Oryctolagus cuniculus: one gene and its partners. The main gene of each other region encodes a partner of the protein of the gene in region 4 in a complex. Links are inferred from orthologs where the notes say so. Each region holds a gene or a part of one and is shown on either strand. Other genes may lie near its edges. The genes, in order: TRPC5, RGS10, RGS8, GNAI3, CASR and GRM4.

Region 1 (3,500 bases), on a different chromosome or scaffold from region 4:
ACTTTGAAGATTAAATGATGCTTAAGAAATAAAAAATGAGAGACCACTTAGTGATTAAATTACCTTGAAATTTTCTTCTGTTAGTCCTTCATTTGTTTTGGAATTTCTTATCATTGCAGCCACATATCTTTTAACTAAATTCCTGATAACTTCCTGGAATTAAAAAAAAAAAAAAACAGGAAGAAGCATTCAGTTTCCTTCTTAGGCTCTTAGTGAAATGAGCAATGAACACAGGAAATAAAACATGCTTAGATCATCTTTGCAACAAAATCCTTACAGGATCCAGCCTTTTTCTGCCCCCAAAATGGATTAAGTCCATTGACTAAACAAATTATTATGTCTCTGAATGTGGGAGTAGAGTGAGCCAGTAAAAGCCAATTCACACTAAGTGCAAAATTTCTACCTAAGTATAAAGGAAATATGCATTCACACTTATAGAATAATAACAATGAAATAATGCTTGAATGATCATATTATCTGTTCCTTTCAGGCTGGATTAAACTGTAACACTCCTAGGAAAATGAGTTTTTCCTCCTTTTATAAAGTTCAGAGTCTCTAAGTGCTAATTTCAATATGCACTAATAATATACTCAGGGTATTTTTTTTTTTTCAGAATCAACCTATACTTCTTTACAGGAATTGTCTCTTGATTTGACCTCAGGGCAATAACACACATATGGTCTCTATGATTTGTATTAGTGATGATGATGATGTTGATAGCTGTCACTTACTGCACTAGGTTAGGCACTGTGCTGGGCAATGCCCCACACCACACACACGCACACACACACTCATCACTCAATTTCCAAGACCCTGTAAGAAGTTTTATCATAATTCCCCTTTAACAGATGAGGATTCTGAGACTCAGTGAGGTTAACAGGTGTGTCCAAAGTCACACTATTAGTAAATGCAAAAACTGGAATCCACTTTCATTTCAATCTGATTTCAAGGCCTATAGTAACAATAGCTAATGCTGTATATATTATATCTGTTACTCTGATCTTAAAGAAGTCACTGAGAGGCAGATGTTGTGGTGCAGTTGGTTAAGCCAGTGTGTACAAAACTGGCATCCCATGTCAGAGCACCAGTTCAAGTCCCAGATGCTCTGCTTCTGACCTAGTTCCCTGCTAATGCACCTGGGAGAGCAGTGGAAGATGGTTCAAGTACTTGTCACCCTGCCACTCATGTGGGAGACTAGGATAGAGCTCCTGGCTCCCAGCTTGGCCTGGCCCAGATCTGGATGTTGGGGGCATTTGGGGAATGAACCAGAGGATTGAAGATCCTCTCTCTCTCTCTCTCTCTCTCTCTGTGTGTGTGTGTGTGTGTCTGCCTTTCAAATAAATACACAAATAAATCTTTTAAAAAAAGTAACTGAGATGTCCTTGAAACAATTTTTATAAGGACTTTGAAGCAGGAAATGAAGACAGTGAATTTTTCTTAAGACTCATTATGAAAATAATAGTGGTTAGAGGCAGGAATAGTAAGAGAAGAGTTCTTACCAAATACTGTATTTTCTGTTTCTCTTAATTATGTCCTAAGAGAGAGTTAGGAGAAGTGACCTGTAGAATAAGGATGAATTTACTTCAAGCCTGCTTTTTTCTACTTTGGGCTTCTTTTAATCAGAAAGGTGAGAGATGATTGTCTCTTACTTGGGATTTGCAAGGATCATTCTCAAAAGATGTTTCTGGTATTTGGGTGCTTGGTTGTTTTCTGTCTGGTGGGGAGAGTACCCAAATGTTCCCTTGGTTTATTACATTTTTAGCATGCTGAAATGCTTATTTAATTCTGTAATTAAAGTCATGTTGTAATTTAAGAAGAGTTGTGTTCCTAACATTCAGATAAGCTTTTAATTCATTGATGTTACTTTCCTTTTGTTATGTATTCCTGATGCATTGTATAGTATCATTACTCTATGCACTTTTTTTTTTGACAGAGACAGAGAGAAAGGCCTTCCTTTTCCATTGGTTCACCCTCTAAATGGTCGCTACAGCCAGCGCGCTGCGCTGATCTGAAGCCAGGAGCCAGGTGCTTCTCCTGGTCTCCCATGCGGGTGCAGGGCCCAAGCACTTGGGCCATCCTCCATTGCCTTCCCGGGCCATAGCAGAGAGCTGGCCTGGAAGAGGGGCAACCGGGACAGAATCCGGCACCCCGACCGGGACTAGAACCTGGGGTGCCGGCGCCGCAGGCGGAGGATTAGCCTAGTGAGCTGTGGCGCCGGCTGCACTTTTTCTTCATAGTAGATTTTACCCTTGTATCACCTAATTTTAATAGCTATAATGATTTGTTAAATATCTTCTTATTCCTGCTAAATAATAAAAGAATAACAGAAAGACTGGGTCTTGTTCACAGTGATTTCTGTTGTACCCAGCTTAACGTCTGATAAACAGTAGGTATTAAAGTATTTGTTAACTGAGTGACCAATAACATTCTATTTTACTTAATCTCAAAAATATAGGTTTGGAGTAGGGTTTTGGCCTTATAGTTAAGACACCCACATCTGATATTGGAGTACCTGGGTTTGATTCCTGGCTCTGGTTCCTGATTACAATTTCTTCCAGTGCAGACCTTGGGAGGCAGTTGTGGGTTCCTGCCACTCAAGTGGGAGACCCAACTTGTGTTCCTGGCTCCTGACTTTGGCCCAGCCCTGGCTTTGCAGGCATTTGGGGTGTGAACCAATGGATGCAATCTCTCCCAGTGTCTCTTTCTGTTCCTCTACCTCTCAAAATTTTAAAAAAACTTTCTAAGTCATGGATGCTGTTGAATACACTGAGACATTGTTCAAAGACAATGAACAGGATGATAAACCAGGTGAATCCACTGTAAAGTGATACTTCAGCCTTTGATGAAATAACAGTCTCTCCAAGCCTCCTACTCCAGTCAAATGGAACATATCCAGAAAGCCAGCATGGAATTTGTTTCTACTTCACCAAACTGGCCAAAAACCATTGTCTTTAGTTCCAGTTAGGAAGCTTTACCTGATAATGCTGATTTTGTATCAGACTGTCAGCATGGCGTTCCTGGAATTGAAAATGGGAAGACAGGTTACATAAGCAATCAGCCCCGCCCTACCCACCCATCCGGATATATTTCTAAACATTAAGATTAGAGAATAACACAGGAGCTCCTTCTTGACAAACCCCCAAAGCATGTGTAGACTGGAGTGATTTTGACATTTAAGATACGGAATGTCATAAAGGAAGGAAGGGAAGAAACAAATTTGTCTAAAGGGAAACAATTTGAAAAAGGCTTACTGTGAAACTTCTCAAGTTGTGCCTTCTCCGTCTACCATCAGGGTCTCTTTTGGGGCAGAAAGTGTTGTTGAACCAGTTGCCAAGGTATAGAAATGACTTGGGGCTGGGGATGATGTTGAAAGGAGGTGGCAAGGTACCACCTTCATCAAAGTAACTCATCCAGAGCTTTGTCCTTGCAAATTTCCACTCAATATCAGCATGATCCTATGGAAGACAGAAGTTTAAAGATTTGGAATGCCTCATTCTAAC
Region 2 (3,500 bases), on a different chromosome or scaffold from region 4:
ACAGACGTGCTGCACGATGTGGACGGCGGGAAGTGCAATCCAGCATCTGCCTGGCTGGCCAGAAAGCCAGAAGGTGGCAGAACTGAAGGCTTTACCCTCCCCCCACACCATTACAGTCTTACCCTCCCCCCACATACACCATTACAGTCCCCCAGACATACACCATTACAGTCTTACCCTCCCCCCACACCATTACAGTCTTACCCTCCCCCCACACCATTACAGTCCCAAAGGAGCTTTCCCAGGCCCCAGGGGTCCCCACTCTCTCCCCTCAGCTCTTCCTCCCAGGCCTGCTCCCCTAAGTGCTGTCCCCTCCCCCCCAGGAAGAATTCCCCACTCCACCCCCACCACACTTTAGGTCGCACTTGAAAGACTCCTCAGGCTGGCGCTGTGGTGTAGCGGGTAAAGCTGCCACCTGCTTTGCCAGTATCCCATATGGGCATCGGTTCAAGTCCCAGCTGCTCCACTTCCGATCCAACTACTGCTACGGCCTGGGAAAGCAGTAGATGATCCAAGCACTTGGGCCCCTGCACCTGTGTGGGAGACCCGAGGGAAGCTTCTGGCTCCTGGCTTCCGATCGGCACAGCTCCGGCCATTGTGGCCAATTGGAGATGGAAGACCTCCCTCTCTCTGCCTCTGCCTCTCTGTAACTCTACCTATCAAATAAATAAATAAATCTTTAAAAAAAAGAAAAAGTCACTCCTCCAGGGGCCTCCCCGGTGATCCACAGCCCCATTCTTTCCACCTCTAGGCTTGTGGCACCTGCGAAGCCTCCCCCGGAAGATGCTCCTCCAACTCATTCCTGGGCTCCATGATGCCTGGAGTGCCAAGGGCTGGCAGCAAGTGTACAGGGGATGCCTGGGTGACCTCGGAGTGCTGGCGCAAGCCCCAGTTCTGCATGGTGCAGGGCAACACCGACTTCCTTATCTACACAGCAGGGGAGGCCCCGGGCCACCTGGGCCTTCCCACCCTCACGCTCGAAGAATAAGGCAGACAAATGCACATGCGCTCACCTCTCGACTCTGAGCTACAATCTTAGGGTGAGCCTGGCCTCAGCAGGTGCAGGTCCAGCGTGCACCTATGGTTGTCGGCAGCCCTGTCCTAGGTGCTGAGAAAAAGGGGAACCAGGAGTCCTCACTTTCCCAGAGGCCCTCCTGCCTGCTTTCATTTCCCCCAGAGGGCTTCGCTACCCAGGAGGCCCCAGCCAGAATCGCCCTGGGGGAAGAAGGCAGAAGAAAGCAAAGCCCAAGGGTCATACAGGGAGGGCTTTTAGGGCAACCAAAATGCAACCCAGAGGGAGCCCCTCTCGGAACGTGTCCTCACCACCTGCAGAGAGGAAGCAGTGCTCCCTGTCCTCACCACCTGCTGCTCCCCCGGAGCTGACCAGTGCTCTGCCCTGCACAGAGACCCACCCAGTGCACAGCCTTCTTCCTCGTGATCTGATGCACCTTTTTCATGCCCAACCTTCAGTGGCAAAACCCAGCGGAGGGGAGCGACAAGAGGGCACCCTGAAATGAGCACACGGCCACCCGGGAGAACGGTCAGCAGCTTCCTGTGCGGGAGGCTCTGGACAGGCGCACGGACACATGGAAAAATCCCCCAGGTGCATGCAGGGCTCCAATCGCCACACAGCATCCAGAAATGCAGACGGGCCAGGCCCTGGGGGCGACCTCCTCATAACGTATTCATGAAGACACAGCCGTGCACACTGATGATCTCCAAACGACACCAATGGTGATTTTTACTTTAAATATCGGTCCCTTTGAACAGCTCCATTTCAAAATGGACTAAATCACTCCTTTTTGAATTATTAATATTTGATCAACACAGGAGACCCGATCTGAAGCAGAAACCTTCCCCTCACGTCTAATGTGAACCGAGTTCCATTAGACAATTTCCAAGTCTCCTGCAACGGCAGCTGTGACTCCATGAAGAGCGGGGGAAGTGACCAGGAGTCATTAGGAACGGAAGGGTTACCTGCTTCTTATCCTGCATTTTCTTAAAGTCTTCACATGCCAGCCAAAACAAAACATTTTCCTCGCTGAACTCCTTTTTTAAAAATTCCTATGGATAAAAACAAAAACCATTCATTTAATCTTCTCTTTACGAAAAAAAAAAAAAATAATGCATTTCCTGACAAGCACTGACTTGGCAAAATTCAATAGCTGAGCATGGTCCAATCAGCCCTTGAAAACTCCACCCTGAAAAACAAGGAGTAGGATTAATGTTCAAGCCAGGATTTCATATGCATTTGGCCTCAATGGCTTTGACGTAGTAAAGAAGAATAAAAATGAGGCAGGGATCTACTCACACTGCTTAGCTGACAATAAATTACCGAAAAGTAAAGTAAAGTGGAGATGCGTTAGTTCCTTCCAGACAGTGTTTAAACAAAGTGCATTCCTCTAAAATCAAGCCCATTTTTTTTAAACAAAAGGAAAGGAAAACAGGAGGCCTGTCGAGAAAGGCCAGGAAGAAAACTATTTTAAGTCGGAGGTGTGTTTCCTTTTGGCCGAAATCGGAGGGCTGGTGGCACGGCCAGCTGCTCGACAGTGCAGAGACCTCCCTGAGGTCCAGACGAGGCTCACAGCCTGGTGTCACCAGGAACTGGGGCCCTGGCTCGGCTGCCACTTCCCGCCCGAGAGCCTGACCACACAGGGCTCCTCCTGTCTGACTCAAGACCTAAAGACAGAAGTTGCTGGAACCGACCCTTGAAATTCACATGTGGTCACCTGGGGGTTCCAGTGGCCAAGGAAGTGACTTCTCCGTGACATCAACACTTCCCCAACCACCGGTCCTCCCTCTGGGGTCCCTTCGCCAAGTCGACGCTGCCAGCTTCTCTCACTCTGCCAATGATGCACCCCGAGACTCCCCCAGGTGCAAACGGTCCCAGCAGAGAAACTCAGACAACCCACCCCCCACCCCCGAGGTGTCACAGAGCTGCAACTCCTCCTACAGCCGGCAGCAATGGGCAGGGGACCTTCTCCCTACCCCAGCCCACTCCCACCTACACAGGAGCAGACTGCACACGCCCTCAATGCCAGTCCAGGGCTGTCCACACGGGTGCTACCAGCCATCACAACACCGGAGCCATTCTTACTGTCACATTGGGACAGACAGAGTTAAGGACTGTCCTGTTTCCCCCACCTCTGCACATGACACACCCTCCCTGATTAACAAGAAAAAAGGCAAACCCTAAATCTTTTGACGCCTTCTGGGTCTTCCAGCAGATTCTCCAAGGAGGCCGCCCACTTGGCTGTGCTCCTGAGGCTCTGGTGGCCGCTGCTGGAGCCACCATCACTGTCGTGGATGTCTGTAAAACAGAGCGTAGACCCCATCACAGGATACAATGCCACCATCACCATCACGGCTCACATACAGTAAGTTGCGTGATGACCTAGCACGTGGCAGGTTCAAAGAGTTCCTCCAATTTACAGATAGGAAAACTGAGGCCGGGGTGATGAAGACTTATGCAACACACCTTCCCGCACTGGTCAGCGCAC
Region 3 (3,500 bases), on a different chromosome or scaffold from region 4:
GGGAAGGGGCCCCTTCCTCTCACCAGTGTTGGCTCCCCCACCCCCACGGCGCGGGCCTGGGAAGGGCGGCGGGACCTGCGGCGGGATGCAGGGGCTCAGAGCACCTGGTGTCCCCTGACCCTCACAGACCCTGCCTCAGAGAAGCTTCCGGAATCCCACAGCGGGGCAGAGCGGGACCAGGCGAGCTCGGATCTGAGAGTTGCCCTCAGACCTCCAGACCCTGCCACTACCTGCGCCACAACTCCTCCAGGTGGAGCCGGGCCACCACGGCCACATGGCCACACGGCACAGCCAGCACCGGCAGTTCCTACCGGGCTCCAGGGGCACTCGCCTGGCACTGGGTAGAGAAAAGCACCTGTCCCTAAGCACACGCAGACCCTCAGAAGCCGCCCCATGGAGGGCTCCGGGTGCTCACTCGGGGGCCAGCGGCCCCAGGGACTTGACTAGGTGAGTCAGGCGCCGGCCGGAAGAGAAACCAAATGACCCCGAGTCGAACCCAGCCAGGGAAGGAGGCGAGGACTTGACGACGCTCGTTCAGCCCAAGGCACGGCGCAGCTGCACGAGGCAGGTCCCGAGTCCCACACTTGCCGCCACCGTGGCAAACGCCTGGCACAGCTCTCTGCTTGGCCTGCGCCATGCACACCGTGTGCGGTGTCCACGTGGCTGCCCTCCTGCCGCGGGGTGAGCCATGGAGGCCACCGCTGCCGTGTGCCCCGGCCTGGCCCCCACGTCTCACTGTGAAATCTACCTGCAAGCATTTGTCCATCACTTACTGGGAAGGGGCAGAATCGGAGGGGACGCTGGGCGAAGCTGAGAGCCAACGACTTCTAAAGACACCTGCGGAGACCAAGGGCCTCTGCCAAGGCCCCTCAACTGCATGTTGACCCTGCAAGGTTAAGATCAAGAGCACGGGGCCAGGGCCGGCGCTGTGGCAGACCTGCAGTGCAGACATCCCATATGGGCGCCGGTTCGAGTCCCGGCTGCTCCACTTCCAATCCAGCTCTCTGCTATGCCCTGGGAATTAGATGAAGGTGACCCAAGTCCTTGGGCCCCTGCACCCACGTGGGAGACCCAGAGGAAGCTCCTGGCTCCTGGCTTTGGGTCGGCCCAGCTCTGGCCGTTGCAACCACCTGGGGAGTGAACCAGCTGATGGAAGACCCCCCACCCCCCGCCTCTGCCTTTCTATAACTCTACCTTAAAATAAACAAATAAATCTTTTTTTAAAAATCAAGAGCACGGGGCTGGCACTGTGGTGTGGCGGGTTAAGTCACCTCCTGCCACGCCAGCATCCCGTGTTGGAGCGCGGGTTTGTCTCTGCTTTTGCTCCAGCTCCCAGCTGAGGCACCTCGGAGAGCAGCAGGGGGTGGCCAGGGGCTCCGGCCCTGGCCCCACGCGGGAGCCCCCGTGGGAGCTCCTGGCTCCTGGCTTCATCCTGGCACAGCCTTGGCCGTTGCGGCCATTGGGGGAATGTCTCTCTCTCTCTCTCTCTCTCTCTCTCTCCCCCCCTTTATCACTCCGCCTTTCAGATAAATAACAAAATATTTAAAAAAATAAAATCCGGAGCAGGTCAGACTCCGACCCACGCCCTCAGCCTGCGTGTTGCAGACTGTACTGCGCAGTTCAGCAGGCCCAGCTCTGGCAGCCGGGACGCCCGGCTTGGGGGCGGCTGCAGGCGGCCGAGGCTCCCTGGTTCCTCCTTGCCCTGCTCTGTGCCCCCTCCACTGTGTGTAACGCCCTGGGGTGTCAGAGCCCCAGGAATGTGGGCTCGCCCACGAGGAGAGAGAGGCCAGAGCTGAGGGCGCCTCCCCACACTGCACACGCACGACCTCTGCCTCAAGGGGGACCAGAGGGCAGCAGGGGCTGGGGGAGGGGCACAGCTGTGCGCAGGAACTCCCAGGACGACAGCCCGGCCGGAGACCCCATCAAGGCCAGAGCCACAGGGGGCAACGGGCCTCACAGTTTCACAGGTAATACGCAGCTGGAGCCGCAGGCCCCCAGCCCGGACCCGCACTCTGAGCTTGGCTCTCTGGCATGGCTGCGACCACGAGGCTCCGGGGACCTCCCAGAGCCCAGGAGAGGGGAAGGAGGCCAGCGCCTGGCTTCCACCCTGTTGTCTCCGCCTCGCGCCGCAGGGACCAAGGCCGGCGGGGAAGGTCACTTACACTTGTGTGCCAGGAGCACGTCGAACGAGTCCGCCCACCTCGCCGCCTCTTCCGTGGACAGTCTCCTGGGCAGAAGAAACAGCCGTGAGCGGGCCTGCCATGGTTCCCTCCCCCATCTCCGCGGTCTGCTCCGGAGAGCAGGGGGCAGCGGGGCGCGAGCCAGCCAGGCACTGGGGGAGGAGAGGACACGGCCGGGCCGGACACGGTCAGGGGCAGTGCAGAGAAACCCGTCCTGGCTCCCGCCCATCACCTCGCGTCTCTGCAGGGGGTCACGCGAGGCAGCGCGTGCACAGGGAGAGCTGCTCCTGGGTTACCTGGATCCAGGCATATTTTTAGAGTTTACTTCCAAATCGAGAGCTCAGATTGACAAGCAGAGGCAAGGAGTGTCCCTCCCACCCACAGCCCGGCCGTCTGGGGCGCAGAGGGGACCCGAGCTGGGATCAGTCAGCGATGCACCAAGAGGAAGACAAACTCCCCTCCACTCCCACCCAGGGTGCAGGGGGCTGCCGTGGGCAGGGCCGGCCAGGCAGTGGAGCGGGGGACGCCACTCACTTGAGAGCGCGACTGGGTTTGTCGGGAAGGATGGCCGTGAAGTCGCTGCAGGAGTCCGACTTGTGCGACAGGCACCCCAGGCGCGTGCGCATCCCTTTGCTCCTGCAGACAGCGTGGGCAGAAGGTCAGGGGCTGCGGTGGGCACAGCTGCCGCCCCCCACGCAGCCCCGGCCCACAGCCTCACAGAGGGGGCCCCTGGAGAAGCCGGCCTCCCACCCAGCTGACTACGGGAACAGCGCCGGGCAGCCCGGGAGTTTCTAAATTAGGATTCTGTGCAGGAGGCTGGACTTCACGCACCGCGGCCTGTGGCCCCCAGACCCAGCGGGGTAGGGGGCAGGGGGCCTGGCCCTGCAGAGCCTCTGCAGAGATCAGGACTCCCAGGCAGCCACATCCTGCCAGGTCCCCGCTCGTCCTACAGCCGGGCAGATGCACGGACAGCCAGGCCCCCAGGCAAGCCCAGTGCCCACAGCTCCTGTTCATTTCTCTCTCAGGTTCTCTAGTTCCCGAACACCCGCGCGATGACGGTATTGCCGTCTCTTCCCCACTGCCACTGTCAGCCCCGTGTGCCTCGCTCGGCCAGGGCCTGGCATTCTGCTCCCTGCGGGTGCCGTTTGTATAAATAAAGCTTTATTGGCACACAGCAGCAGCCAAGGTCTACACCTTCAGCCACAGACTTCTGAACCACCGGGATGAGAACATCGAATCCCTGGCCCTCGACACATGAGCTTTGCTGACTCCTGACCTTCGGCCACGGCCACTCCTGGAGCTGAGGTCACAGGTGGGGGA
Region 4 (3,979 bases):
GCCGTCAATATTTATGCTACACTATATCCTTTTAAGGAAGAGAACATATTCTGAGCCAGGAGAGACAAGGATAAGTACTCAGGCCTCAACTTATATTATTTGATAATTTCATAGTAATGAAATAAAAATGACTTATATATACAGAAAAGGAGATATATTCTACAGCAAAAACAAAATCTGTATACAGTACTGGGTATATTTTCCTTAGAGAAACAACATGAAGACAATTACATAGCTGTGTATATGTCTCAAGCAAGAGAATATATCTCTGCAACCTATCTGAATTTGTTGATTTGACTTGCTGCATTCAAAATCTTTCTGAAGGCAAGCATTGCAGAACAGTGGGCGAAGCTGCCACTTGGGATGCCTGCTTCCCTTATTAGAGTGCCTGGAATCGAGGCCCACTTGCAATTCAGATCTAGATCCATCTTCTTGTTAATGCACATGAGAGGCAGCAGACAAAAGCCCAAGTACTTGGGTTCCTACCACCCACAGCAGAGACCCAGCTCCTAGCTTTGGCCTGGCCCAGCCGGAGCTGTTGCAGGTATTTGGGGAATAAACCAAGAAAGGAAAGGACTCTCTGTCTCTGTGCCTGTCAAATAAATAAATTTTTTTAAAAATTGAAAAAACAAAGTAAAAATTAAAAGAAAATGTTAGTACTTTTTTATTTACTGCTTTTCAATTGCACTATCTATAAAGTTCTGAATAAAGATTTTTCTAGACATTTGGACAAGTTCTGCTTGCCAAAGTTCTGCCTGCCAAATCCTGCCATTTGGAATAAAGTCTCACAGTTTATAACTGTATTACAATGGGCTAATGTCCTGAGGAAAAAAAATACCCTTAATTTCATAACCAATCAATCGGTATAGAAAATGCTAATACCTTGAATATTGTGTTTCCCATGAAACTTCTGAAAGGCCCCAAGGACAAATGTCCAACATTAGCTGGCTTATGCTTGTTAACAGTAAATATTTAAGAAGTGCCGACCAGGTACCAGGGACCATGCCTGTGCACAGAAGATACCTGTGATACAGACAGTGGCCGTCTAGAGCCTTCCAGAAGTTCAGCTATTCACACTGAAAGCTCAGGTTCCAATGTATAACTTTTCCCCTATATCCAACAAAGCTGTTACCAGGGTTTCTGCAATCTACAACCAAGCCAGTATGTTAACACTAAAAGACACTGTCAGGGTACCAAGCACATCCTGAAATACAGAATAAGTCTCAAGTTCTATTACTTACAGAAATCATCACGCCTATTTATTCTTCTCTAACTGATCTACAGTAAAGACTAATAATGAAGAAATCTGGCTTGGTTTATTGTAAGTTAGCACAAGGACATTTTATATGATTTACTGAGTTTCAAAAATTTCAAAACTAAATTGCGCTAAGATGCATCAGACAATACACAAAAGCCACTTAACCCATATGTATCATGGTCCTATATAGAGGCATCTATAAAAAACTAAAGTCAAGCAATAAATATACCACTTATGTTAACTTTGAAATAAACATTATGTCATAGAAACATTCACAAAATTGAAAACTCAGGATGTAATGGGTTAAAACGGATACGAGAAACTATAAACAGTGATTCCTGAGGCCAGTATTTTTTCCTGGAAGAGAACAAACAAGATAGAGAGCTCACCAGAAATCTAACAGTCTTCACAGTAAACATGCTCAATCCCTAACTTACCCTAAAATAACTTTATCCCCACAGCACGGTATCCCTAACAAACATTCAAACAACTTCCAATGTGCAATCTGTCGTCCACGGATCTGCCACAAGCCGTAACAAGCCATTCTTTCAGTACCCTCAGCTCACACCACTCCCGCTTCTTCTAATAAAACCTGGGGAAGGAGTTACAAAACGAAAAGGGTGGGAAAGCACAGACAAGCCCTGCATCCAAGCTCTTTTCCTTGATACCTGCGAATCTGTCACGTATCTCAGCCCTTTACCTGCACGTTCCTGCGCAAGGGTTCCCCCGCCTTACTAACATGCTCTTTCCCTATGTAATCACTTCGTGCGAGTGATCTCTGTTCAAAGTAATCGCTCGTGTCTCACCGCTTTGTCTTTTCTAAAAAAAAATTTATTCTTAGTTTTTAACATTCAAGTGCTTTCATTTTATAAAGTGTCACCGCGCTCCAAATTCACTAATCATTATACAAATCCAGCAAGCACCTTAACCTCTCCTCCTGGTTACTAACAAGCTCAAACTCAACGTAAAACCTTCTCTAACATCAGTTCTTTTATGAGCGTCTCCCATATTCCTAATGAAGTCTCACCGTCCAACCGCCCTGCACTCCCAAACTCTTTGCTAAACCTAATTCCAGCCCGGAGTCACACCCTCCCAGCCTAATTTCCACAACCCCAAAACCCCACCCCTTCATCTCACCCTCCGGGGCCTGAGCCCCAGGACCCCGCCGCCCGCCGGACAAACCCTACAAATCCCTTTGGGGTCCGTGCGGCCGGCCTGGCCAGGACCTGGGCTCCCCCGGCCACCGCTCCAGCCCCGCCCCCAGCCCCTCACCGAGGAGCAGCAGCTTCACTTCTTTGGCCGCTTTCTCTCCGTCCTCCCGCAAGTTGCGGTCGATCATCTTGCTCCGCTCCACCGCCGCCTTGTCTTCGGCGCTCAACGTGCAGCCCATGGCGGCGGCGGGACAGGCGGCTGGGCCCGGGCTCAGTCACACACCGCAGTAACTGCGGCTCGGCCGGCTGAGGCAGCGTCTACTGCTGGGCGGCGGCCCTCTCCGTCAGCGCCCCTAGCGCCCCGAGGAACCGGATATCCGGCGTTTACGACATTTCCGGTGACGCCCTGCGGCCGTTACTGCTTGGAGCTCTCTGGGAGAGGAGGTGAGACCGAAAGCGGAAGTCCTCGAGAGGTGTGGCTGGGCTGGGCGGCGGGGCTGCGGGGCTGCGGGGTTCTGTCAAACTCACGGCGTGCCTCCCAACTTTAATCTCTCTTTACCTTCTCAGCTACCTGGTTTGGATGAATGGAGAAAGACCGAGGCCTCCAGCTCAGAGGGCCCTCCCAGAGAGTCACACAGCGGATGCTTGGGGGAGGTGAGGAAGGGAGGAAATTCTCAAATGAGAGCCCCCACAGCCCCACGGTAACTTCTAATGAGATTTTCTCGCTGGCCAGAAAATGTCATCGATTTCTGGCTGTTGGAGACCCAGCGCTCCCCGCCCCCGGGTTGAAGACACCGAGGCAGTGTCAGGATTGTTCCAGCGGTTGGGATGGGAACAAAGTGCCCAGTCTTGGTCCCGGCCAGGCCTCACCATGCCTTGGACTTAAGCGATCCCTCTTTGGCCCTCGTTGGCCCATGCCTTGTGCTCTCAAAGTGTGTCCTAGACCTTGTGCTATTAATTATGAATGTCAGTTGCCTTAAGATTTGCCCAGCTCCTATGTCGGCAAAGCGTCACTTGAAATCACTAGTTACTCTGTGACTAGAAGCTCTGTAACCTAACAAGTAAGCTTGTAATTCCTCCATAAAATGTCCACGCTGCCCTTCTCTCCAATACACGCCACTCTTGGGCATAGGATTTAATGTAAGTCAACCTCAGCCCCTCACTGTGAAACAAACCAGTGCATACTGGGAGTCTCCTTAAATTTCCTGTTGCCCCACACCAAAAAGGGTAGTGTAGTAAAATTTGCCTCTCAGTTATACTGTCACCTGGACATTAATAAATCCCCTGTAAAAGCCCCTAGCTGATGACGCTCTTTCACTGATAATACATGAAGGTGGTCCTAAATTAATTAAACTGACAAACAGTGCCAATTACTCTCTCCATATATTCTAGGAAGAGCTCTTTTGCAGCCCTTATATCCTTACCCTATGATTAAAATTATTTCCCCAGTAGAGTCTAAACATTACAATATAAGGTCCCAATGGACAGGTCTATATAATGATGATTCATTAATTAGGAAGGTTTGATCAAAGGATTAGAGTCACTTTCAACAGCCTCAGTGACCATAACG
Region 5 (3,500 bases), on a different chromosome or scaffold from region 4:
GTGGCTCCCACCACAGCGATAGTGGAGGGGATGTGCTCAGAGCAGTTGCAGAACTCATCAAGGTTCAAAGAGTCGATTTTGTTCTGGGCAACAAAACTCAGGGTGGCCTCCAAGGCTTTAGACACGGTGTTGCAAGTGTCGAAAATCCTGTATCCCAGCGTCATGTTGGGGAGAAGGGCTGGGCTGCTGTTGATCTCCTCTATGGCAAATATCATCGCCTGTAACCAGCGAAAACCACGAAAGTTATACCTGGAAGAAAGAAGTGGGAAGTGAATGGAGACTTTCTGGTTAACTAACTACTTGAAGGACTGGGCAAAGCTGGGTCTGAATCATGGCTCTGTTACCCGTTGGCTTTGAGGTTCACTTTTTGGGACTCAAAGTCCTGTCTGGAACATGGGGTTAACACCTACTTGTTCATAGGGTGGCTGTGAAGGTATGGACAGGTGGCAGTGATGTAAAATTCTCAGTGTGTGCCTCACACAGAGTTGGGGGACAGGAATAACAAAAGATTGTTATTAGTAATTCATTGAATTATTTCTATCTGCTGCCTCCAGCAAAGGGTTTGCAGTAGTTGATGTGGAGTACTTTTGTAAATGTAATATATAGATTTAAAGAGAAAAAGGACTCGGGAAAATATGAATAGATTAGGATATTAGCAGGAGGGAGCCTAAATATAGCCTCAGATTTGTGGTGTCACAAATTTAGGTGATGATATCCTTGCTGGTCAAAGAAGAAAGGGAAAAGAATGATCTTGGTTTGTAAACAAGCAACAAACAGTGTAGGGAGGTAGGAAAGGAATTGTGTGCTTTTGGCTTATTTATACTATAAAGTCTTTTTTTTTTAAAGGAATGTAGTTTACTTTTTCTTTATTATTCATCTTTTGTGACAAACATATGGTCTTCAAAATATCCATAGAAAATACATCTCATAAAAAAACTACACATGAACTTCAGATTTTTTGAAGTAACTTTGTCTTTTAACTTCATTTTCTCAGAATTTTTGAAGCATCTTTTCTGTAGTTAGACATGGGATTCTAAAACTGATTGTAATGATAGTTTTGCCACTGACATACCCAGGTTACAAAGGAAAGTCACTTACTCATGTTGTCTCCATTTCTTCACATTTAAAATGAAGATACTGAGTTAGAAAACTTTTTGAAAGATCCTGGACCTTAAACATTCTTTTTGTTCTGGAAGCAGCTGTTGGGCTTTTCTTTTTTCAGTGATAAAATATGAATATCAAGATGTGGGAAAAATCGTGGTAGACAGCTTGCAGTCTTTATTAATGAAGTAAAAGTTAAATTTGTGGGCTACACAGCATTTTTTGGGTTTAATATATCAGAATAATATTCTGTAATTTTCTCTGAATTCCCAATGTGCTGTCACCAATAGTAATGCTTGTTAAATTCCAGAAAAGCTAAATAAGTGTACTAAGTTACCCTCATTTTAAGGTTTTCTTTCATGAATTTTAATTCAGATGTTGAACACTGGATAATTAGTCATTGGCACTAATGGTTGATGTGGGACAAATGGAATGCTCACAAGTGAAAAATAAAATTCTTTTTCTTCTTATTCATTCTTGGTCTTTAGAATTTTGACTCTAAGACTTAGTTAGATTCCCCCTGTCTAAATATATATGCAAAAAGGATCAGGAAATGCTTAATCATTTCTTCATAAGAACAATATTTACTGATGGTGTGGCACTGTGGGGAAGCAAGTTAAGCCACCTCTTGGGATGCCTACATCCCATATTGGGGTGTCTATGTTCAAGTCTTGTCTCTGTTTCTTTTTCTTCTTTTTTTTTTATTTAGTAAATATAAATTTCCAAAGTACAGTTTATGGATTACATTGGCTCCCCCCCCATAATTTCCCTCCCACTCGCACCCCTCCCATCTCCCGTTCCCTCTCCCATTCCATTCACATCAAGATTTATTTTCAATTATCTTTATATACAGAAGATAGATTCAGTATATATTAAGTAAAGATTTCATCAGTTTGCACCCACACAGAAACACAAAGTGTAAAAATACTGTTTCAGTACTAGTTATAGCATTACTTCACATTGGACAACACTTTAAGGACAAATCCCACATGAGAAGTAAGTACACAGTGACTCCTGTTGTTGACTTAACAATTTGACACTCTTGTTTATGGCGTCAGTAATCTTCCTAGGCTGTAGTCATGAGTTGCCAAGGCTATGGAAGCCTTTTGGGTTCGCCGACTTCGATCTTATTCCGACAGGGTCATAACCAAAGTGGAAGTTCTCTCCTCCCTTCAGAGAAAGGTACCTCCTTCTTTGATGGCCCCATTCTTTCCACTGGGATCTCACTCGCAGAGATCTTTCATTTAGGTCTTCTTCTTTTTTTTTTTTTCCCAGAGAGTCTTGGCTTTCCATGCCTAAAATACTGTCATGGGCTCTTCAGTCAGATTCAAATGCCTTAAGGGCTGATTCTGAGGCCAGAGTGCTATTTAGGACATCTGCCATTCTATGAGTCTGTTGTGTATCCCGTCATCTCACTAGTCCAAGTGATCAACTTCAGTTCACAATTGATCACACTGATATTTCTAAGAGTCAAAGGGATCACACAAACAAGACTAGTGTCTGCTAATACTAACTGATAGAATCAAAAAGGGAGAGAACTATCCAACATGGGAAGCAGGATCTACTATAAAGTCTTAAAAATGTATATGCATTGCTTTTTAAAGAAGAATGCTATTTTAATAAAAATCAAGCAAATGGATAAAGACAGACAGGGTCAGTGCAGTTAAGTTTCACTCTTCCAGCACTTGGTTTAGAGTGAGGCCTCTGCACGTGCTGACTCAGTGAACTGACTCAGGTCCAGTGGGAAAGATAGAACAATCTGGCAGGTTCTCCCTTCCTAAGGGGAGCTGCCTATCGGAGCACAGCAATAAGAGGTGGGAAATATGATCAGTTATACTTCACTGTCACTCAGGCTCCCAAGGTTGCTGGTGTAACGTTCAAATAATATTCATTTATTTGATAGGTACAGCGAGCAAGCGAGAGAATTCCTGTCTGCTGAATGCAACTCAGAGGTCTCCCACTTGGTGGCAGAAACCCAATTAGTTGAACCATTACCTGCTGCCTCTTGGGGTCTGCATGAGCAGGAAGCTGGAGTTAGGGGCTGGAGCTGAGTACTGAACCTGGGCACTCCAATCTGGGACGTGAGCATCTTAACCGCTGGGTCAGATGCTTGCCTCCTGATCTAACTTTTAACATGACATTTTGCTTTCATATTTTTTCCTATGCCTCCTTCATCTATATTTGTTTAATTATCCACTGTAAACTTACAAAGTTATTCAGGTACATTATAAAATTTCTCTTTATATAAAATACCTATACTGCTAAACTTATGTTACTCCGTTTCTTTAATGTAATTTAAAAATATATATTATTTTGGGGAAGGTTTCTTGCTTAGTCTTATATCTGTATTTTCATGATACATGCATAGTTCTGTCTGGCAGGGTACAACAGACTATTTG
Region 6 (3,500 bases), on a different chromosome or scaffold from region 4:
ACTAGCACTTGGAAGTTCTCTCTCTCTCCCCTCCCCCAAATTCTGTTGCCCTGCCTTTAAGTAATAGATAAATGTTTCTTTAGACAATTTTTCCATAATATGTGGGGAAACTATTATGAAAAAGCCATAGACTTCAAGAACATTTACACTTGATCTTAGCCAAAAGGCCGAGAAGTGATCAAAATAAACTCATACTTTCAATTCTCTTAGCCTATGAGCATCTCTTAAGCACCCTTATACCCAAAAACCCACACACAAGCTTCTGGGCACCCAGCAGCACTCCTGAGGGTGGCACCAGCCCCCCTCCCACCCCCACAGCAGCCGGGCCTGCAGCCTGCCCTGGGCGCCCGGGAGATTCCACGTGGCTCCGGCACTGCCGGCCCCCTGGCTGCCAGCGCCTCTAAGAGTCCTGGTGGCTGGAACCCATGGGGGCTTCCGAGTTCGTCTCCTCCACCCCCACCCCATTAGGAGGCCTAGAGGGGAGAAGGGATGCATCCCACGTCCCACAGGGCCCCGGGCAGAGCTGGTGCAGGCGCTGTGTGGCCGCAGCCCTGCCCCATGGAGCACCCCTGAAGGCCATCTCAGTGGCTCAGCTCAGAACTGTGCAGCGGAGGTGGAGACGGACAGGGCGGGGCGGGACGGGGCGCTGCCTGGACAGGGCATGGGCTGAGCAGGGCTGATGCCCTGGGATGACAGGGTCTCCACCGGGCGCAGGGTGCCCGCAGCCAGAGGGCAGGGGCTTACCCGCCCTCAGACTGGGAGGCCCTCGAGGTTTTCAAGCTTCCTGGGCGTGGAGGACTCCCCTGCCGACTCCACGCCCAAGAGACCCGCGCTCAGCAAGGGGCTGGGTGCACCGGCTGCCGGGCTCAGGAGCATGGCCAGGCCACGCCTCAGACCCCAGGCCAGTCCCTGCCAGCCCCAAGGTCTGCTTCTTGGAGCACCCTGGCCCTCAGGGACACCCCCGGAAGACGCCCCACAGACCTCCCTGGGCTGGGCCCACGAGATGTGGGGCGCAGAGCAGAGGACACGGCAGCCACCCAGCATGAGCTGCTGGAACAGAGGTGGGGGCACCAGGGAGGGCCAGTGTGGGCTGCAGGTGGTGGCTCCTTCGGTGCAGCAGGGACAAGTCCAGCTGTGCCACCTACTGGCCGTGTGACCTTGGGCAAGTCACTGCTCTCTCCTGTGGAAGTGGGGATGGTAGCTACTGCGTCCAGCATCCAACAGGCCCCCATTTGCGGCTCCCTGCAGGCCACACACCCCCGGGGAGCTCTCCCTGCTCCTGATGGGCCCCCAGTTACAGCTCCCCAGACAGCTGCACTGGGACATGTGCGGGGCGCCTGCCCTGCCCCCTCCTCCCCGCTTCAGCTGCACCCCGTGCCCAGGAGCCCCAGGACCACCTGGCCATAGCCCTGATCCACCCATGCTCTCCTCAGGGCTCACCCCGCAGCCAGGGCCTGGGTCCCAAGCGACAGAAAGAGGAGCTGAGGCAGGGGGAGGCCAGCGGCTTGGCCAGAGCCAAGACACGGACAGACCTGGGACCAGGCATAGGGGTCTCAGGGCCCCCAGGAGGCCTCCGACTGCAGGTCACCCCGCCTGCAGTGCCAGCTCTGGGTGTGGGCAGGGTCCACGGGGCGCTCAGGGGCCAGGCCGCTAGGATCCAGAGGCAGGCGAGAACGGAAGGCCCCTCGGCTGGCACGGCCAGGCTCCAGGTCAGCACACTCACCTTGTCGGCCGACTGCGAGGTGCCGAAGAAGATGGGGATGAAGGCGAGCCAGACGATGCAGGTGGTGTACATGGTGAAGCCGATGGGCTTGGCCTCGTTGAAGGTCTCGGGCACACCCCGCGTCTTGATGGCGTACACGGTGCACGTGACCATGAGCAGCATGCTGTAGCCCAGCAGGCAGATGAGCGACAGGTCGGAGATGTCGCACTTGAGCACGCCCCGGGCGAAGCGGGGGTCGAGCGTCCGCTGGTCCTGGAAGTCCACCACCGAATGCGAGGGGTCCACCACGAACCACACGCAGATGCCCAGCAGCTGCAGGGAGATGAGGCTGAAGGTGATGGCCAGCTGCGAGGCGGGGCTGATGAAGCGCGGGGCGCTCACCGACCGCTTGCCCTGCTCGAAGATGCGGTAGATGCGGTTGGTCTTGGTGAGCAGGGCTGCGTAGCTGATGCTCATGCCCAGCCCCAGGAAGATGCGGCGCAGCGAGCAGGTCCCCAGGTCCGGCTCGGCGATCATGAGGAAGGTGGTGGCGTAGCACAGGAAGATGCCCGCCAGCAGCACGTAGCTCAGCTCGCGGCCCGAGGCCTTGACGATGGGCGTGTCGTTGTAGCGCACGAAGGTGACCACCACGAACAGCGTGGCGGCGATGCCCACCACGGCCAGGAAGAGGGGCAGCACGGCCCAGGGCGAGTCCCACTCAAGTTTGATGATGGGGATGGGCCGGCAGCCCGTGCGGTTCTCGGTGGGCCGCATGTCGTAGGGGCACGTCTTACAGGTGTAGCGGTCCACCTGGTACTGGTAGCCCGTGCAGGGCTCGCAGTGCCAGCAGCACGGCATGCCCTTCACCGTCTTCTTCCGCTCGCCCGGCTGGCAGGGCAGGCTGCAGATGGAGCGGGGCAGCTGCTGCCCGCTCCCCGGCCAGTGCATCCGCTCTATCTGGCAACGACAGCACCGCGGAGCAGGCCTCAGGACGGGGCGCCCAGGGCCTGGACCCTTCGCCCTCTCCCGCGCAATGCCCCTGCGCCCCACACCTGAGTCAGCCAGGTGGGTGCCTGTTAAAAGTCCGACCCCACCAGGGCTTCCCGAACCCGACGGCTGGATTTCAGCCACCACCACCACCCCCACCTACCACCGCGTGGCCGGAACACTGCCGACCTGGGAGGACTCCTGGCTGAATCCAGAGCTCTCCACACTCATGGAGGAACTCGGCCCAGAAAATAGCAGCGGTGACGGCCTGCAGTCCCCACTCCCAGCCCCCAGGGCCTGGCAACTCACCAGCAGCCACAAAGCCCAGCAGCTGCCAGGAAATGCAGTTTCTGGCCTCACCCCAGCCCGTGCGACACCGAGACCCCCTCCCCAGGGTGATCTGTGCCGGCTTCACTGCCCTACATATGGCTCCACCACGGAGCACAGGGAGCGGCGTTCAGTGGAGGGGATGAACTCCAGTTTAATCAGCGGATATTAACGTGTGCCCAGGGGCTGGCATTTCTTTCCATCTTGCTCTAAATCAGCGCTACTCACAGCTCTTAAGACTCAACGGCTGTGAGCAAAGGGGCCATAGGAGGACTGTCACGCCCTCCTGAATCCGTTACAAGGTACTCTGGAAAGCAAGCAAGCAAGAGGCCCAGAGGAGCTGCAGGCCCCGGGCTACGGGAGCAGACTACGCCCAGGAGCCACCTTCCCAGCATCCGTTCCAAATGCAGCAAGAGTTCACCAGACCAGTGCCAGGTGCCGGGCACCCACTCCTGCAGAACGGCCGCCAACTGGCCGGGGGCTC

The links.
Region 1: the proteins of GNAI3 (region 4) and TRPC5 are in contact, whole or in part, in a cryo-EM structure (PDB 8GVX), measured with the Homo sapiens proteins. The link is inferred for Oryctolagus cuniculus from reciprocal best matches to the Homo sapiens genes GNAI3 and TRPC5. Residues at the interface, in NP_006487.1 of Homo sapiens: Arg205, Arg208, Lys209, Trp211, Ile212, His213, Phe215, Glu216, Glu245, Leu249, Ser252, Asn256, Lys257, Trp258, Arg312; in NP_036603.1 of Homo sapiens: Thr27, Glu32, Glu33, Glu56, Ile57, Tyr58, Tyr59, Asn60, Lys125, Pro128, Thr129, Leu130, Met131.
Region 2: the proteins of GNAI3 (region 4) and RGS10 are in contact, whole or in part, in a crystal structure (PDB 2IHB), measured with the Homo sapiens proteins. The link is inferred for Oryctolagus cuniculus from reciprocal best matches to the Homo sapiens genes GNAI3 and RGS10. Residues at the interface, in NP_006487.1 of Homo sapiens: Val71, Val72, Ser75, Glu115, Val179, Lys180, Thr181, Thr182, Gly183, Ile184, Val185, Gln204, Ser206, Glu207, Lys209, Lys210, His213, Ala235, Glu236; in NP_001005339.1 of Homo sapiens: Glu62, Phe63, Ser64, Glu66, Asn67, Ala102, Ser103, Ser104, Gln105, Val106, Asn107, Val108, Glu109, Gly110, Leu137, Lys139, Tyr140, Asp141, Ser142, Arg145.
Region 3: the proteins of GNAI3 (region 4) and RGS8 are in contact, whole or in part, in a crystal structure (PDB 2ODE), measured with the Homo sapiens proteins. The link is inferred for Oryctolagus cuniculus from reciprocal best matches to the Homo sapiens genes GNAI3 and RGS8. Residues at the interface, in NP_006487.1 of Homo sapiens: Glu65, Gln68, Ser75, Val179, Lys180, Thr181, Thr182, Gly183, Ile184, Val185, Gln204, Ser206, Glu207, Lys209, Lys210, His213, Ala235, Glu236, Asp237, Glu238; in NP_001095920.1 of Homo sapiens: Thr76, Glu77, Phe78, Ser79, Glu81, Asn82, Ala117, Pro118, Glu120, Val121, Asn122, Ile123, Asp124, Phe125, Gln126, Arg128, Leu153, Lys156, Asp157, Ser158, Arg161, Arg164.
Region 5: the proteins of GNAI3 (region 4) and CASR are in contact, whole or in part, in a cryo-EM structure (PDB 8SZH), measured with the Homo sapiens proteins. The link is inferred for Oryctolagus cuniculus from reciprocal best matches to the Homo sapiens genes GNAI3 and CASR. Residues at the interface, in NP_006487.1 of Homo sapiens: Ala31, Lys32, Gln304, Glu308, Lys314, Asp315, Thr316, Lys317, Glu318, Ile319, Tyr320, Thr321, Phe334, Asp337, Ala338, Thr340, Asp341, Ile343, Ile344, Lys345, Asn347, Leu348, Glu350, Cys351, Gly352, Leu353, Tyr354; in NP_000379.3 of Homo sapiens: Lys644, Ala645, Asn647, Arg701, Val702, Val705, Phe706, Ala708, Lys709, Pro711, Thr712, Arg716, Trp719, Phe801, Ile869, Val872, Arg873, Thr876, Ala877, Ala880, Phe881, Lys882, Val883, Ala884, Ala885, Arg886.
Region 6: the proteins of GNAI3 (region 4) and GRM4 are in contact, whole or in part, in a cryo-EM structure (PDB 8JD6), measured with the Homo sapiens proteins. The link is inferred for Oryctolagus cuniculus from reciprocal best matches to the Homo sapiens genes GNAI3 and GRM4. Residues at the interface, in NP_006487.1 of Homo sapiens: Ala31, Lys32, Val34, Lys192, Asp193, Leu194, Thr219, Phe336, Thr340, Ile343, Ile344, Asn347, Leu348, Cys351, Gly352, Leu353, Tyr354; in NP_000832.1 of Homo sapiens: Pro616, Lys619, Ala620, Gly622, Arg623, Glu624, Arg676, Ile677, Ile680, Phe681, Gln683, Gly684, Lys685, Arg686, Ser687, Val688, Ser689, Ala690, Ile694, Ser695, Pro696, Phe781.

What each region holds. Positions count from the first base shown.
Region 1 is NC_091453.1:81,680,926-81,684,425, reverse strand, and holds part of TRPC5 (short transient receptor potential channel 5), read right to left. Parts: intron 3,456-3,500; coding exon 3,252-3,455; intron 3,018-3,251; coding exon 2,976-3,017; intron 154-2,975; coding exon 64-153; intron 1-63. UniProt on the Homo sapiens protein: Forms a receptor-activated non-selective calcium permeant cation channel. Mediates calcium-dependent phosphatidylserine externalization and apoptosis in neurons via its association with PLSCR1.
Region 2 is NC_091446.1:11,178,376-11,181,875, reverse strand, and holds part of RGS10 (regulator of G-protein signaling 10), read right to left. Parts: intron 3,311-3,500; coding exon 3,192-3,310; intron 2,065-3,191; coding exon 1,978-2,064; intron 1-1,977. UniProt on the Homo sapiens protein: Regulates G protein-coupled receptor signaling cascades, including signaling downstream of the muscarinic acetylcholine receptor CHRM2.
Region 3 is NC_091444.1:944,441-947,940, forward strand, and holds part of RGS8 (regulator of G-protein signaling 8), read right to left. Parts: intron 2,817-3,500; coding exon 2,715-2,816; intron 2,228-2,714; coding exon 2,163-2,227; intron 1-2,162. UniProt on the Homo sapiens protein: Regulates G protein-coupled receptor signaling cascades, including signaling via muscarinic acetylcholine receptor CHRM2 and dopamine receptor DRD2.
Region 4 is NC_091438.1:60,864,366-60,868,344, forward strand, and holds the start of GNAI3 (guanine nucleotide-binding protein G(i) subunit alpha-3), read right to left. Parts: upstream 2,801-3,979; 5' UTR 2,649-2,800; coding exon 2,531-2,648; intron 1-2,530. UniProt on the Homo sapiens protein: Heterotrimeric guanine nucleotide-binding proteins (G proteins) function as transducers downstream of G protein-coupled receptors (GPCRs) in numerous signaling cascades.
Region 5 is NC_091435.1:78,452,992-78,456,491, reverse strand, and holds part of CASR (extracellular calcium-sensing receptor), read right to left. Parts: intron 250-3,500; coding exon 1-249. UniProt on the Homo sapiens protein: G-protein-coupled receptor that senses changes in the extracellular concentration of calcium ions and plays a key role in maintaining calcium homeostasis.
Region 6 is NC_091436.1:135,251,091-135,254,590, reverse strand, and holds part of GRM4 (metabotropic glutamate receptor 4), read right to left. Parts: intron 2,660-3,500; coding exon 1,724-2,659; intron 1-1,723.